Linked DNA regions of Danio rerio. The protein of the gene in region 1 binds, or shares a complex with, the protein of each later gene. Links are inferred from orthologs where the notes say so. Each region holds a gene or a part of one and is shown on either strand. Other genes may lie near its edges.

Region 1 (4,070 bases):
ACAGACTATATCTACAAGAAGGCAACATATAGACTCTTTCTTTTAAGAAAATTAAATCGTTTTAATGTAAGTAAGAGTATTCTGAGGAAAGTTCATACCAGTCTGGTTGAAAGTTTTATCTCCTATAATATTTCTTGCTGGTACGGAAATCTTAGAAGCAAGTATAAACTTGCAAAGATTGTTAATATGGCTAGTAAGATCATAATTGACCCCGAGAAGTAGCTTGTGGAACTGTATACAAACCAGACCAGACAGAAAGCCTCACGTCCTCTTTATTATGAATTTGAAAAGCTTCCTTCTGGTAGACGATACAGAGTACCGCAAAAACAAATAGTTTTTAGAAATCTTTTATACCGTCTGCTATTACCATACTGAATAAATGACCATGAAGTAGATTGTATGTCTAGGGTTGTGTGTTGGTAATCTGTGGTGTAGGAAGTTTTGTGTTTGTGATGTCTGGGAGGCCAAAAAATAAATTCCACAGGTGTGGGCAATAAAGTTTTCTAATTCTAATATAATCATATCAACAAGACAGGGCGTGCGCAAAGCAACTGCGATTAAAAGATCTGTTCAGCTAGCTGTGATCATCAGTCATCAAATGTGATCAAGAAAAGGTTTTACAAGTTTAAAATGTTTTTGAAACAGAGCATGTTTGTTATGATTTACAGTAATTTTACGGCCTCTCACCACAGCTGCATGTCAGTACAAATTTAAAAGACGACGCTTCAAGAGTGTACGTGGAGACACAAAAGAGGCATCTTAAATCTAGAAAATGGGGTAAAATAGGTGCCCTTAAGGTGTAAGGGATGGTCAATAATGTAAATAAAGATGTAGTTACATGCAAGTATTTAGTCAATCATAAATAAAACATGTGGAAATCTGCTAAATGACTTCAGTCAGACAAGGGTTAGAGATAAGCAAAAGAGTACTTTATTAAAAATAATCCTGGAGGATGACACCTGTTACGCACACGCACACACACAAAACACACACAGAGTAAGACCAGTTTTCTCAACAGACAGTTTTATACCTTTCAGTGCACGTACACTCAATTTGTGCCAAATTTCAAAAAAGATACATAACTAGTGGAACAGAAAAGATCTTGCTGTGGATTTCTAACTCCTGACTAAGAGTGCTACATTGTATCAGGCTATGGCCTTGGCCAGTACCAAACTGCTACTCTCCACAAAACATGTAGATTATCATGAGGTTCATTGAAAATGCAAATCATAAAACAAAAATTGTAACAAATGATTAATTTCTGTGTAAGTACATAATAAATTAAAGCCACTTAATATAAAGTGGGACCAACTGTAGCCATAAATGTTTTTAAGAATCAGCGTTTTACAGTTTATCTCAGTCACTGTGGTCCATTTCTCAGATCAGAATTGAAATTCTCTAAACTTCCTGTTCAATCTTCACATCATTGTGTCACTTTTGCACAATGCTTTTGTACATCCATGCAAATGATTATGTGCAGTTCTCTGCTCTTTCCTACATTATCAATTGCTAATATATTTTGGTCAGCATGACATTATTTTGGTCTCTGTTGAATAGTCTCACCCCCACAACATTTAATATCTTGTTCATGGCATAGGTCTTAGCATGCAGAATGGCTGAACAAGTTGTCATAATATTTTGCTGCATTTTCTGTACATTTACATTAGACTTTTTATTTTTCCTAAATCTGTCTACAATTGGTAAATTTCTCTCATGTGAGTCTTGTCTTCTGATGAAGGTGCATCTCAAAGGAGATTCCCATGTTCACATTTCTACTTTAGTTTAGTTTTTTCTTTGTGCTATGCAGTGCTGTCTTTTCCTTTCTGTATCACAGAGACATGATGTAAACAAATCACAGTACAAACAGCAAAATAAATAACAAATCACTAATAAAATATAATTATGGATATATCAGTAATATTGAAAACATGACTTATAAGTAATGTGACTGTCTTATCCGTACACATTTCCATTTGAAATTTTCTGAAATATTCTGGCACTGACACATTCATTGACCCAGAAATTTAGTTTGAGAGTGTTTTGCTATTTGTAAGCATTGTTTAGAGAAAGTAACTTACTCTTTTGAAAATTTCAATTCTGATCTGAAAAAAACTGTAAAAAGCCTTTTATGTGACTCTTAAGAAAGGAATAAATGACATATAATTGTAATTGAATAAATTATTTAATATATTAATAATTATACTTAAATTATTAATTTATCACAGTTACAAATATAAAAAAGTGAAAGATGATTCTAATTTTACATATTTTTGGTCAAATAAATGCAGCCTGGTGAGCAAAGGAGACTTTGTTATAAAATCCATTTGCAAGTGTGAAAAGAGCATTATTCAGGTGACGCTTGTTTGTTTGTGTGTGTGCGTTTTTGGTTAAGCGCGTAAAGAGCACTTGCATAAATTGTCCGATGTCTAAATATGCACTTATCTTTCATTTCCGAAATTGCAGTACAGCATAATTACTCATTCTTTTGTCTCTCTCCTTAAGCAGGAACTGCACGCATTACAGCATTACCCACGGCAAAAAGGCTGAGATTAATCATGATTAAATATTTAAATCAATTGACAGCCTCAATTTTTACATTTTCATCTGATCCCAGCAGATGTCTGAGTGTGTTTGGACTGTTGATCGTCTCTAATTGCTATTTATATTTCGCAGTCACGCTCGCGACAAGAGGACCCCGAGCAGCTGCGGCTCAAACAGAAGGCCAAAGAGGTGAAATGACACACTTCACAAGTTTATCTAGTCAGAGGACCATTGTGTTTGATTATGGGTCAGAGCTGATGCGAGTGTTTTTGTGTGTGTGGCTACAGATGCAGCAACAAGAACTGGCTCAGATTCGACAGAGAGACGCCAACTTGACGGCGTTGGCGGCCATCGGACCCAGAAAGAAAAGAAAACCAGATTCTCCTTCGCTCGGGATCGACACAGAGGTACTGAATGGCGGTCTGCTGCCCTTCTGTGGCCCCTTTAAATCATTTAGCACCTGTTGGGCAGGTATGAGATGTCAGGTTGAGCTTCAGGGGTCTCAGATTTTCACAAACAGGCAGATAGGATGGAGTAAAAGCATGGTAATGCATAGACATTTTCAGATGATTTATTTTTGACATAGTTGTACATATACACTCATCGGCCACTTTATTAGGTACACCTGTCCAGCTGCTCATTAACGCTAATTTCTAATCTGCCAATTACATGGCAGCAACTCAATGCATTCAGGCATGTCAACATGGTCAAGACGATGTGCTGCAGTTGCTGAAAGGTGATTTAATGACTTTGAACATGGCATGGTTGTTGGTGCCAGACAGGCTGGTCTGAGTATTTCAGAAACTGCTGATCTACTGGGATTTTGATGGACAACCATCTCTAGGGATTACAGAGAATAGTCAGAAAAAGACAAATATATCCAGAAAGCAGCAGTTCTGTGGGCACATATGCCTCGTTGAGTTCAGAAGAGAATGACCAGACTTGTTGGAGCAGATAGAAAGGCAACAGTAACTCAAATAACCACTTGTTACAACCGAGGTATGTAGAGGAGCATCTCTGAATGCACAACACGTCAAACTTTGAGGCAGATGGGCTACAGCACCAGAAGACCACACCGGGTGCCACTCCTGTCAGCCAAGAACAGGAAACTGAGGCTACATTTTGCACAAGCTCACTAAAATTGGACAATAGAAGATTGGAAAAACGTTGCCTGGTTTGATGAGTCTTGATTTCTGCTGTCACATTTGGATGGTAGAGCAGAATATGGCATCAACAGCATGAAAGCATGGATCCATCCTGCCTTAAATCAATGTTTCAGGCTGCTGGTGGTGGTGTGGGAGATATTTTCTTGGCCCATTAGCACCAATTGAGCATTTTGTCAAAGTCTACCTGAGAGTATTGTAGCTGACCATGTTCATCCCTTTATGATCACAGTGTACCCATCTTCTGATGGCTACTTCCAACAGGATAACGCATCATTATGTCAAATCGCAAATCATCTCAGACTGGTTCCTTGAACATGAGCATGAGTTCACTGTACTTAAATGGCCTTCACAGTCACCAGCACT
Region 2 (5,375 bases), on another chromosome or scaffold:
ATCGAGGCTGGGAAACCAAGACGACAATCTTGTGTTGCGATTATGGACGTGATGAGTGAATCTTTAGCTGGTGAGGCAGTTGAAAATAGCGACACCAGCGTGATGGCCGCCCGCTGAAACGACTTTCAAAATAAATGCCCGACAACTAAACCTTGCTGTGGAAAATATACTTTGCAAATGTCAATGTGCACCAAATACACCCCCTCCCTCACACACACAAATAAAAAATAACTTTTTTTTCTGTTTAAATAAACTTTAAATGTAATATGTTAAGTCATATTATCATAGAGAAGTACAGATAAAGCTGTTTTTACAGACAACAACATAAAATCAGCTGCTGTTAACACCGCAGAATTAGTTATTATTGTTATATATTTATTTTTCAAAATCTAGATTATAGAATATTAATATACCCCTAGATAAATAGTTGCAAAGCATTTTTCACAATACACACACAACTATATTTACACTTCTTTTTATTTCCTACATCTAAAGCAATCGCTGCAATAAAATGAATTATTTGAATTACTGTTATGATTTCCAATCTTTAGAAAATAGAATGACACAATATTTATTTATTTAAATCAATAAATATAAATTTACTACAGAAATATTGTCATTTGAGATTGCTTCACAATGATACATTTTGATTGGCAAATCTGACCTTTAACACATTAAGCTAAACCTTCTGCCCCATATGCAGAATGCAGATCTACCGGATATACTAAGACACAATAAAGGAGACCAATTTTGCTTCATAATAAATAGGCGTAATGCATTTCTGTGTCCACAGAATGTGCAGCTACAGCTCAAATTAAGCTACAGATCATTTATTTTTTTATGTCATGCTGCAAAAAAAAAAATGACCCAAAAAATGTGCATCTCTTTAAATGCAAATGAGCTATTTCCAGAAGAAAGTGGGTCCTTTACAGTCTTTCTCAGATATTCTCAAGACAAGACATTGTTTTGGTTTTATCATGTCTACTGCACTTATGTGACATTTTAGTTCATCATCATGATGAAAGTTTATTATCCTCATCCGTTTTAAAGCCTTGTTGGTCTGTCTCGCTTTGTCCACTCATTTCAAAGCATTTGTGGTATCAGCCTTTGCTAAGCAACCATCATCTGTGCTCTCCATGGAAAATTTTTATTTATTTATAATTTTTTAACATGAAAAGATTAAAAGATAATTGGGCCTGACTCAGCATGAATGCTGTTTTTCAGCAGATTCCTGCTCCGCAGAACATAAAAACACACAGACACCCATTAACATGTCAAATTATATGAAAAATACATAAAATAATATAATAATTTGGTAGCATTAAGGTCTGAGGTGTTTGTGTCTACTCCCACGATTCAAATATTATAATAAAACTAGGATTAAAACTGATTTACCTAGCTTTTGTACCTCGTTTTCAGGTCAGAACTTAAAAATTAAATCTTCTGTGTCAGTTTACCGTTTTACTAAAGAATCATGTAGAAAGCAAGGATGTGAACATTTTGTTATCTAAAAGACTTGACATTTCTGTAAGATGTTCGACATTTAACTATTAACATTAACAGCTAGTTCGTGTGTGATGGTTCTTTTATTCAAATCATTAAAATAAAAATAAAGATAACATATTTAGAAGTCTTTAGAATAACTTAATAAAAGTTTTATGAGCATGCTACAATACCGTATTGACGATGACTTCAAAAAATGCAAATTTCTACTTTTGCTTTCATTTTTAGGAAATGGCTATGCAACAGTTATTTCTTTGTTTGACTTTTATTTTGGAATTGCACAGAAAACAACAACCTTCCGGTCGCCCTGTTGGAAATGTTGATAGGGTTGCCATTTTCGCCCAATATAAAAACACCAAATACAGTTTTTAGCAAACGCAGAACGCACAATGAGTTTATTTGCGAATGCTAAACATCAGAGGAAAAACCACTAGAGTTCTAAAATGGCAGACTCGGTAATGATGGGGAGCGGATCTTTAAACTCCGGAAGCGTACGTTAAATATCTCCTTTCATTAACGCTAACGTTACTCTTTCCTTCACCCTGCTGGCTCAGCCAAACAATACTAACTTTAGTTTTTTGATCAAAATTAGACTTAAAGGCACTTGTGTAATATATTTTAAAGCAGACACCGTATCGTATGTAAACACGTCTGTATATATATATATATATATATATATATATATATATATATATATATATATATATATATATATATATATATATATATCAATTATATAGTGAGCTGTTGCAGATCAGTGTCGTCAAACAGTGTTTTATATAACTGGTAAACGTCTTGTTAAAGCCGAAAATCACAAACTTTACTGTACTGCAACTGTACAAACTCAATTTTCTCCCAGCAGGAGTTTTCTATGAAACAATGCTAATGTCACTCATAATGACAAGTTATTGTGCATGGAGAATTGGGTTAGCATAATATATTAACAGTAAACTAGATTATTGACAGGAATGGGCAGTTTTACATACCATAATTTAATACCACACTCTTAATGCAATCCACAGTGGAATAGTAATCTTAACCAGATTCTCAGATGCAAAAATGAATGCAATAGATGCATTTTTGCCTCAGTAATTATAAGCACAGCCTTACAAAATCCCTAACTTTTTGTTAAGGATCCATCCATAAAAAATAAAAAAACATTAACAAAGATTGAGGTAAAGGTGGCTTTATATTCACACATTCAGACTTTGTCCTTAATAATATAAGTTCAGAAACATGTTGTTTGCAAATTCTAAATAGGGAAATCCTATTAGCAGCAGTGATAATGTTGTTTTGAAGTCATTACCTAGCTAAAATTTTACCCAATACTGTTATGTTATCGTTGGCCATGGAATTAATTTAAACAGGATTGGTAAAATACGATGTCTTCTATTTGCTGGACAAATGGTAGATTTAGTAGGTAAAGCTTTTAATCTGATTCAGTTTGACTCAATTGAGTTGAATCAAGTAATTCAGATCTTCAAGATTTGGTTCCTTTAAATGACCTAATAAATCCCTGACCAATGTTTTAATATAGGTTGATCCCTTACACTTAATAATCAAAGTAGCATGGAAAACAATATAGCGACTCACAAGTTGTCACTTTATGAATGTGCCATATAAAACCAACTTAACTAAGCAGAAATTAACTTAAAATCACATACGATTCCACAATGTGAGTTATAGTAATTTCCAGTAAAGTAAATCTACCTCAAAACGTTTTGATTTTCATAAAAACTTAATTACATGACTAACTTTTCCATTATTTTTTCAAAGTTTTATATTCATGAGTCATAACTAGGGCCAGACGGAATCTGCAGATGTTTTTTGCTATTTCTGCTGAGATTTTTGGTAAAAATCTGCGGATTTCTGCAGAATTATTTTGGGAGTATCCAGCGGAGTATCAAAACTAAAACCTTAATATATGAAACAAAAAGTAATAAATTACTGAATAAAAACTGAATAAATTTAGATTTACACATTTACTCAAGTAAATAAACAGAATTAATGATGGGCTAAAAATCTGCAGAAATTCTGCGGAAAATCTGCGCGCGCAGATTTCGTGTGGGCCTAGTCATTACCACTAAATACAATTCCTCTTTCTTCAACACTAATCTTAGAATAAACTTTGAAACCTTTTAAAAACTCAGAAGCTTACAGTATAGGAACCATACTAATTGTAAAACATTTCAAATAAATGCAGTTCATTTAGCCCTAACTTAATCTCTTTTATTGCATTTTCAAAGAAATGCCTTGCTGTATTAAATGCAGATATGTTTTAAAACTTCCTGATCTGTAAAACCTTCTTATCATCTTTTATTTTATTATTTCCAGCGCTCGGGGAGCAGTAAGACCTGCACCAGTCCCACAGAGAACTATCAGCTGGCTCGGAGACGCACGCTGCAAGTGGTGGTCAGTGCTCTGCTGACCGAGTGTGGCTTTGATAGCGCTGAGAAAGCTGTTGTGGAGACACTCACTGAGATGATGCAGAGCTGTGAGTCCTTCATTTACTTTAAGCAGCTCATCTTGACAAAATTTAAAAGCTTATGCATACCAATATCACAAATCATCGCGTTTTACTTTTTACGTTTGTGTGTATTTGTATGTAATTTATGGTTCTATGTTCTAATTTAACCACAGTTTGGGAACCAAAATTGAGCTATAGTTGAATAAAAGCTCACAAAACAATACAATTACTTTACACTTTTCTGTACATTAGAATGTGTCTATTTAAAAATATATTAATCTGAGCAAATAAATTATCACTGAAATGTCAATAAGACTAATATTGTATACACTAAAAAAGTTTTTTTTTTTTGTCAGGCATACAGTATTTAGAAAAGTGTAGCTCCCAAAAATTTTAATTATTGTCATTTTAAATCTTTTTACTTGTTCACTATTTATTTAGATTACTAGTTTACTTATTTGTCTGCTAAGTTATAGTTTATTAATAGGTCATAAATGGATAAATACATGTTTTTGTGTGTCTAGTATGACCATTTATTCTTAAATATATTTTAATAAGTAGAGCTCATGTTTGCTCCGGTTTCCCCCCACAGTCCAACGACATGTGCTGTAGGTGAATTGGGTACTTTTTGATTTTTAAGAGTCTTGTTGTCTTTTGATAGATATAACAGAAGTTGGACGTTGCGCAAAGGCAAACTGTGAGCACACAGCCAGAAGCACCCCTACTCTGTCTGATGTGGTCATTACTCTCGTCGAAATGGGTTGGTTTACTTTCAATGTTAGGACAAATTAAAGATTCAACTTCTTTTTTAATATATATATATATATATACATGGTTTAGTCATGCTAATGAGATTTAGGCTAATCCTGGATTTACTTTTCCACAATCGCAGGTTTTAATGTGGATACTCTTCCAGTGTACGCCAAAAGATCTCAAAGAATGGTTATAACAGCACGTAGGTCTCTATTATATCTAAATATTTATATTTTTCTGCTGTAACTGTTCCTGTTTTAATTGGTAACACTTATGCATTTCACAGCTCCGATAACAAACGCTCCGGTGGTACCAAAATCTCTGACGGCTGGACAGAAACGCACTCACCCGGCACACATCCCCAGCCACTTCCCTGATTTCCCAGATCCTCATACATACATCAGAACACCAGTGAGTCTTGCTTGTGTCACTCACCTGATTCGGTTGTTGTGTATTGTTTAGCTCAACAATTGATAACATTATAGTTATAGCTCTACAGAATATATGAAGAGTTCAAATGAAAAACCCCTTAAGTGCCATCTGAACTTTTTTCGAAGCCTCCTTTGTTTATGTTGCGTTATTTCACTTTAAAGACCATGAAAATGACTTATTCTTTGCCATAAAAGTGATATTAGTAAACCTACTCACCGAA
Region 3 (5,652 bases), on another chromosome or scaffold:
CTTGCAAACGCTCCCATGCATGCAATCAGTGGAGCGACGCGTCTTTCAGGCTTGTAGATGGGAAGAGTGACGTTGGCGTCCAGTAGACCAATCAAAAGACTTTATTTATGTGAGCAGTGTTTACAATGTTATTTTATTTCAGTAAGGCTTTTGGGTGGCATAGTGAGAGACATCTCTAGTTGTTCCATTCATTAACACTTTAATAGCACCTTACTTTTAGTTTTCAAGAGTTTCATTCCACATATATCAGTGGTGATATTAAGAAAACTGGGTTACAATGACTGTAACATCAACCCGTTTGTTATGAGACGAGCTTATGGTTTTGGTTAACGATGGTGTCCTTGCAGGTGAGTGAGCGTTGTCATAACATCAAATAAATGTAGACAGTCCCTTTATAGTTTTGCGTGTACAGTTTGTGGTGTCATAAAATTCAGATGAGCCCTTAATGCCTCTGTCTGCCCCTCCCATTATCGGAAAGCCTGTTTGGGGAATTCATTGGTAATACTGTTGTTTGTGGTCTGGGGAATTATTTATACATTCTTTGATATATTGTCCTCAGACTTTGAAAAGGTTTGGTTACACCTCTCTGGAAATGCTAGCTAGTGTTCCCCCATTTTATTTTCTAAATTTCCAAAAGAAACACTTTTCATACCCTACTGTTTCTTACAAAAAATATTTACTAACTATAATAGTAATTTACTGTTAAACTTACTTTGTTTAGCTATAACTATAAACCATATCTTCTCAGAATTAAAGAAAAATATTGTTAATAATAAAACTCTTTAAAGCACTTTTCAAGCACTTTCCAGATGCATTTACAAACTTTTCAAGAACTTAACAAGTGTGGCAAATGACATATTTACATACATATACCGTATACTTCATAACATTATATTAGATGATAACCTATTTGTTGATGGCATGTGTGTTTGACCCAAGCCCAGCACTGAACTGCTGTCATTTACTCTCTTAAATATCATGTGCTTACATCGAATGTGTCATCTTTCAAAAATAAATATTTATTTATTTTATTTCAAGTATTGTTCACACATGAATCATTAATCCCCATGCACATTTCTTCTTCCACTGTTTTAGCAAAGGGCACAGATCAAAAAGTTAGGCTACCTAGTTGCAACATTTATTCATTCATTTTATTTTCGGCTTAGTCCCTTTATTAATCAGTGGACACCACAGAGGAATGAACCACAAACTTATCCAGCATATGATTTATGCAGCGCATCTATTTATCTATATTATGCATATCTTTAATAGGTTAAATAGGTTATCTTTAGCATGCTAATCATGTCAGCAACATGCTACAAAGCATGCAATCTTCATTCTTCCATCCACAGTATTAACAATCTAATATCTGTACCTAAACTAAAAAATTATTGCAAACATTTTTTTCTTTTGTTATTGTTAAGAGTACAGATACAGAAAATGTATAAACCCTATAACAAGTTACAACACAAAATAAACAACAGAACAAAGCAAATCAAAAAGAGAAACAAAAAGAATGACAGGGTTAATATAAATTACAAATAGACCATTTTAAAGTTCTCTCAAAGCATGGTCAGAGTGATGAATAAAAGGTCATATAGAACACAGCTGGATATTATAGAAGAGACAAAACTGTTGTAATCATAAAAGCTTTACCTCTACAGTACATTACGTTGGATATTCTCAACCCAATGTCTTTGTAAACATTTTCATGTAATCATATAACTGTGTGTGTGTGTGTGTGTGTGTGTGTGTGTGTGTATATATATATATATATGTATATATATATATATATAAAATCTTTTCTGAGAAGGTTGTCTCGGTTAAAACGTTTTAATCTAAAAACCTTACTTCCCATACCGGGAGTCGAACCCGGGCCGCCTGGGTGAAAACCAGGAATCCTAACCGCTAGACCATATGGGACGATACTTTACTACATGTTTTTTTGACTATTGATACATCAGCAGAAATCCTGGTCCCTTGTGTTGATTTCATATTTATCAAGCGTTTAGTAAAGCAATTACATAAGCGTCATATTTTCTGGGGGTTGTGTAAGCAGACTTTAGCATTTGTTAGAGTATTGGCGTGGTTTTATAAAAGTTAGCTGCTTCTACAAAACGGACATATCTATGCAAAACGGACAGCAGGTGGCAGTGCAGCGCTAAAATACGCCGAGCTTCCGCGAGACACTTCATAGAGGCACAGCTATGTTTATGTGCTCAATTTAGCTGTTCTCTGATAACAATCATATTATTTACTGTAAGTACTGGAATTAATGTTAGCATTACTATTATTACTACTGCGCTCTATATTGTTTCAAGAAGCGAATATTTATTAAACAATTACGTCAACGATATTCGTGTTATATATAATAAGGCTAATGTTAGCTTCGCATATGTAGCATTAGCCTGTAAGATTCTCACAGGATTTTGGTGAGTATGTTTATTAACAGCTTTGAATTGTGCTACATTATTAGTATTTTATCACTCGTAGATAAACACGTTTTTCTTAAATAATACTTTTATAATGTATTTAAACGCCTGTAGCCATTTATATGCGGCTGTATACATGTATTGTATTATATTCTATTTCTTTGCAGAACTAAGAGCCAAAGATGACCTCAAAAACAAAAGGTACAAATATGCACGCACTCCCTTTTCTATTGACATTGGGGTATTACTGTGGTATTACCATCGTTTGAACTCGTAAAACGGTAATAAGTACCATGTAATTACAACTACATGCAAGTACCGTGGTACATGGTCATGCTAATCATTTAGTACGTATGCTAACGTTATATTCCTAAGTGTATTTATTAACATTTAATACAAATTATTGGACTTTATCAGTTTATTTTATGAATAAATATCAACCAGTATGTAACATTTTAAGTTGTCTCTCTTACAGTGGGAAAGGTCGGCACTAAAAGCAAAGAAGATGCTCCTCATGAACTGGAGAGTCAGTTTATTTTGCGGCTTCCTCAGGTCAGTTTGTGTCCTATATTAGGAAAAAAAGTCACTGGACAAATGTACATACTTTAATTAAAAGTGTTTGAATACTTGTGTTCTTTATAGTGTTGTTTGTAGGCATGAGCCAGTAATAGTTTCTGATGGTATAATCTTGGATAAAAATATCACGGTTTGACCGTATGGTGATTACTGCTTTAAAATATATATATATATATTTTTTAATGTCTGGTAATAAAAACATTTTTACCTTTGAACATGATCTATTTTAAGCATTTAAAATATTTTTGGAACAGTAAACATGTCAGGCTAAGTAATTAAATTCTGCTGTCTTAATTAGTTTTAAGAACATGAAGTAACACAGATCTCTTTACAATTTAAAACAGCATCTTTGGATATCTTTTCTGTTGGAGATACTGTTGTCCTAAAAAACGAACAAAAAAAATCTTACATATACCATAGGAATGGAATAGGTTGTTTTCACATGACGTCATTGATCACGCGCAAGACTCAGATGGAGGGCAGAAAGTGATTCTTCTACACAAGAATCGGTATCAGAACATCAAATGTTTCTGTTTTATGTTGTTTATGATTCTTAAAATCAGCCAAAATAAGAAATGCAGAACCGCTTTTATAGAACTCCAAACTGGCTGAAAAACAGAAGAAAAGGTAACATAAACATTTGTTCAAGACATCTATGTGTACAAACTAATTGAACGCGATAATTTGCTTGACAGCACTAATAAAGATGCTATACAGGCCTAGCTATGTGTATAAATATGTTAGTGTTTTATATAAAAATCATGTACAAACAACACCAAAATTATACAAAGTCCAGGAGATTATAAATAACATTCCCTGCCATGTAATCACTGCAATAAAATCTCCGTCTTTACTGGTGTTTAGGTGGAATAAACAGCTGTAATGTTAACATAGAGATGTGCAGCAGCGGTGAAAGTTTGTTGATGGCAAGTTCATCGACCGAACAAAAAAATAAAATAAATGCAACCCTTGCTACAAATCTGGACTGTTATTATTGTAGAGCACTTTTCCCCCTTACAAAGATAATAATAATAATATAATAATAATGTAGACTGTGCATCCATGCTTTTGTATGCTTTCATGTTATTTCGTGTTGTCTGGAAGATATCACAGGGGGGAACTATAGTAATTTATAATAAACATGTTTTTAAACACATAGTAAAAAATATAATGTGTACAACTCTTTGTTAATGAATGCTACAGAATACTGTAGTGAAGTAAACTGATAAACTGCAATAAATAGTGTAACGTTAGTGTAAACTGGTGCATCGTGATGGTGTATAATTAAAGTGAAGAAAACTGAAGCCTGTTGAATAATTTGCTTATTACTACAGTTGCGCTGTACCATAGCAACAATATAATTACTATTTAATTCAAGTAATTATCTATAGTATGCTTCCAAACATTATAGAATTTACTATAGTATTTTTCATGTAACATAACAGCTTATACAGTATCTACCGCCTCGATGACAGGCAAATATATTTGAGTTCAGTAGAAAACTCTTCATCATAAGGATCATGCCCAACATGTGCTTATTTTCTATTTATATCTGCTACGATAAAAAAAAAAACAAAAAAAAACAGATTTTCCTCTCTCCCGTTCAGTTTTTTTTTCTTGCCCTTTATCTCAATTTCGCGCATCACCAGAGCCACGTGATTTTAAACAACTTATGGCAGAAAATGTTTTCTGTTTTAAAACCTTGACTTTTGCAAAGCGTGGTATACCCTAAAAACGGTTATCATCCCATGCCTAGTTGTTTGCTATGAGATTCATAACAACAGTATGCGTTTATGAGCCACTTACATAGCTGTAAGGACAGCATATTATTACAACTAATATATTATTACATATTATTACAGACTTATAGTGACAGTTTGTTGGTTACTCAAGGCTAAACCATGTGCTTGCATGGAGAAACCAAATTCTGCTGGTGCCCGTTGCTTTAATTAGTTGACATAAGTAAATTGTGTAGACCGATAGCATGACATGATCATAATGTTCAAATATTATTATGTGACACCACAGTGTAACAGACATCAGTATAATAAGGATAGTTAAATAGTGAATGTATATCATATTGTGTACATTGGCTGCCAACAAACCCAGATAAATGTTTTTTTTAAACGTGTAGGATGTTAAGAGTAGGGCTGTGCGTTCTTGGCAAAATAAACCTATCATAATTTTTTTGAACAATATTGCGATTTCTATTTTAATCACGATTTTGACACACATAGACGTTTTATAGTGTGAATCTGAAATATATTTCCAAAGGAAAATTATTCCATCGTTATCATAGACCTGTAACAAATCTCTAAAACAGACATAAGGCAAAAAAATCACATAGTAAAGGTGTAGAAAGGTGTCTCTTGAACAGACTAATGCAAATCAAACAAATAAATAATGTGTGTGTGTTTGTTTATGTGTATGTGTATGTGTGTGTGTGTGTGTGTGTGCGTACCGTCAAACTCGAGAAAGACTCTGATGTTCTGCTTAAACACATGTAAGAAGTAGTTGCATGTACTATTCTACATGTCCAAGGATTTTTTATTAGCCATGTAAAGACTATTGACCTCTTTGTGAGGCTGCCGTGAAATGGGCTGTTCACTTATCACACCTTTCGCATGCACAAGTCCGTTATTTC

The links.
Region 2: taf4a (region 1) and taf8 share a complex: the UniProt entries of both Homo sapiens proteins name them as parts of the TFIID basal transcription factor complex. The link is inferred for Danio rerio from reciprocal best matches to the Homo sapiens genes TAF4 and TAF8.
Region 3: taf4a (region 1) and taf7 share a complex: the UniProt entries of both Homo sapiens proteins name them as parts of the TFIID basal transcription factor complex. The link is inferred for Danio rerio from reciprocal best matches to the Homo sapiens genes TAF4 and TAF7.

What each region holds. Positions count from the first base shown.
Region 1 is NC_133186.1:23,050,759-23,054,828, reverse strand, and holds part of taf4a (transcription initiation factor TFIID subunit 4), read left to right. Parts: intron 1-2,673; coding exon 2,674-2,730; intron 2,731-2,828; coding exon 2,829-2,948; intron 2,949-4,070. UniProt on the Homo sapiens protein: The TFIID basal transcription factor complex plays a major role in the initiation of RNA polymerase II (Pol II)-dependent transcription.
Region 2 is NC_133198.1:35,334,343-35,339,717, forward strand, and holds the start of taf8 (transcription initiation factor TFIID subunit 8), read left to right. Parts: upstream 1-1,876; 5' UTR 1,877-1,946; coding exon 1,947-1,994; intron 1,995-3,837; coding exon 3,838-3,997; intron 3,998-4,631; coding exon 4,632-4,730; intron 4,731-4,862; coding exon 4,863-4,925; intron 4,926-5,009; coding exon 5,010-5,134; exon of another isoform or gene 5,135-5,375. UniProt on the Homo sapiens protein: The TFIID basal transcription factor complex plays a major role in the initiation of RNA polymerase II (Pol II)-dependent transcription.
Region 3 is NC_133189.1:45,448,912-45,454,563, forward strand, and holds the start of taf7 (transcription initiation factor TFIID subunit 7), read left to right. Parts: upstream 1-2,153; 5' UTR 2,154-2,259; exon of another isoform or gene 2,260-2,432; intron 2,433-2,599; 5' UTR 2,600-2,614; coding exon 2,615-2,633; intron 2,634-2,907; coding exon 2,908-2,984; intron 2,985-5,652. UniProt on the Homo sapiens protein: The TFIID basal transcription factor complex plays a major role in the initiation of RNA polymerase II (Pol II)-dependent transcription.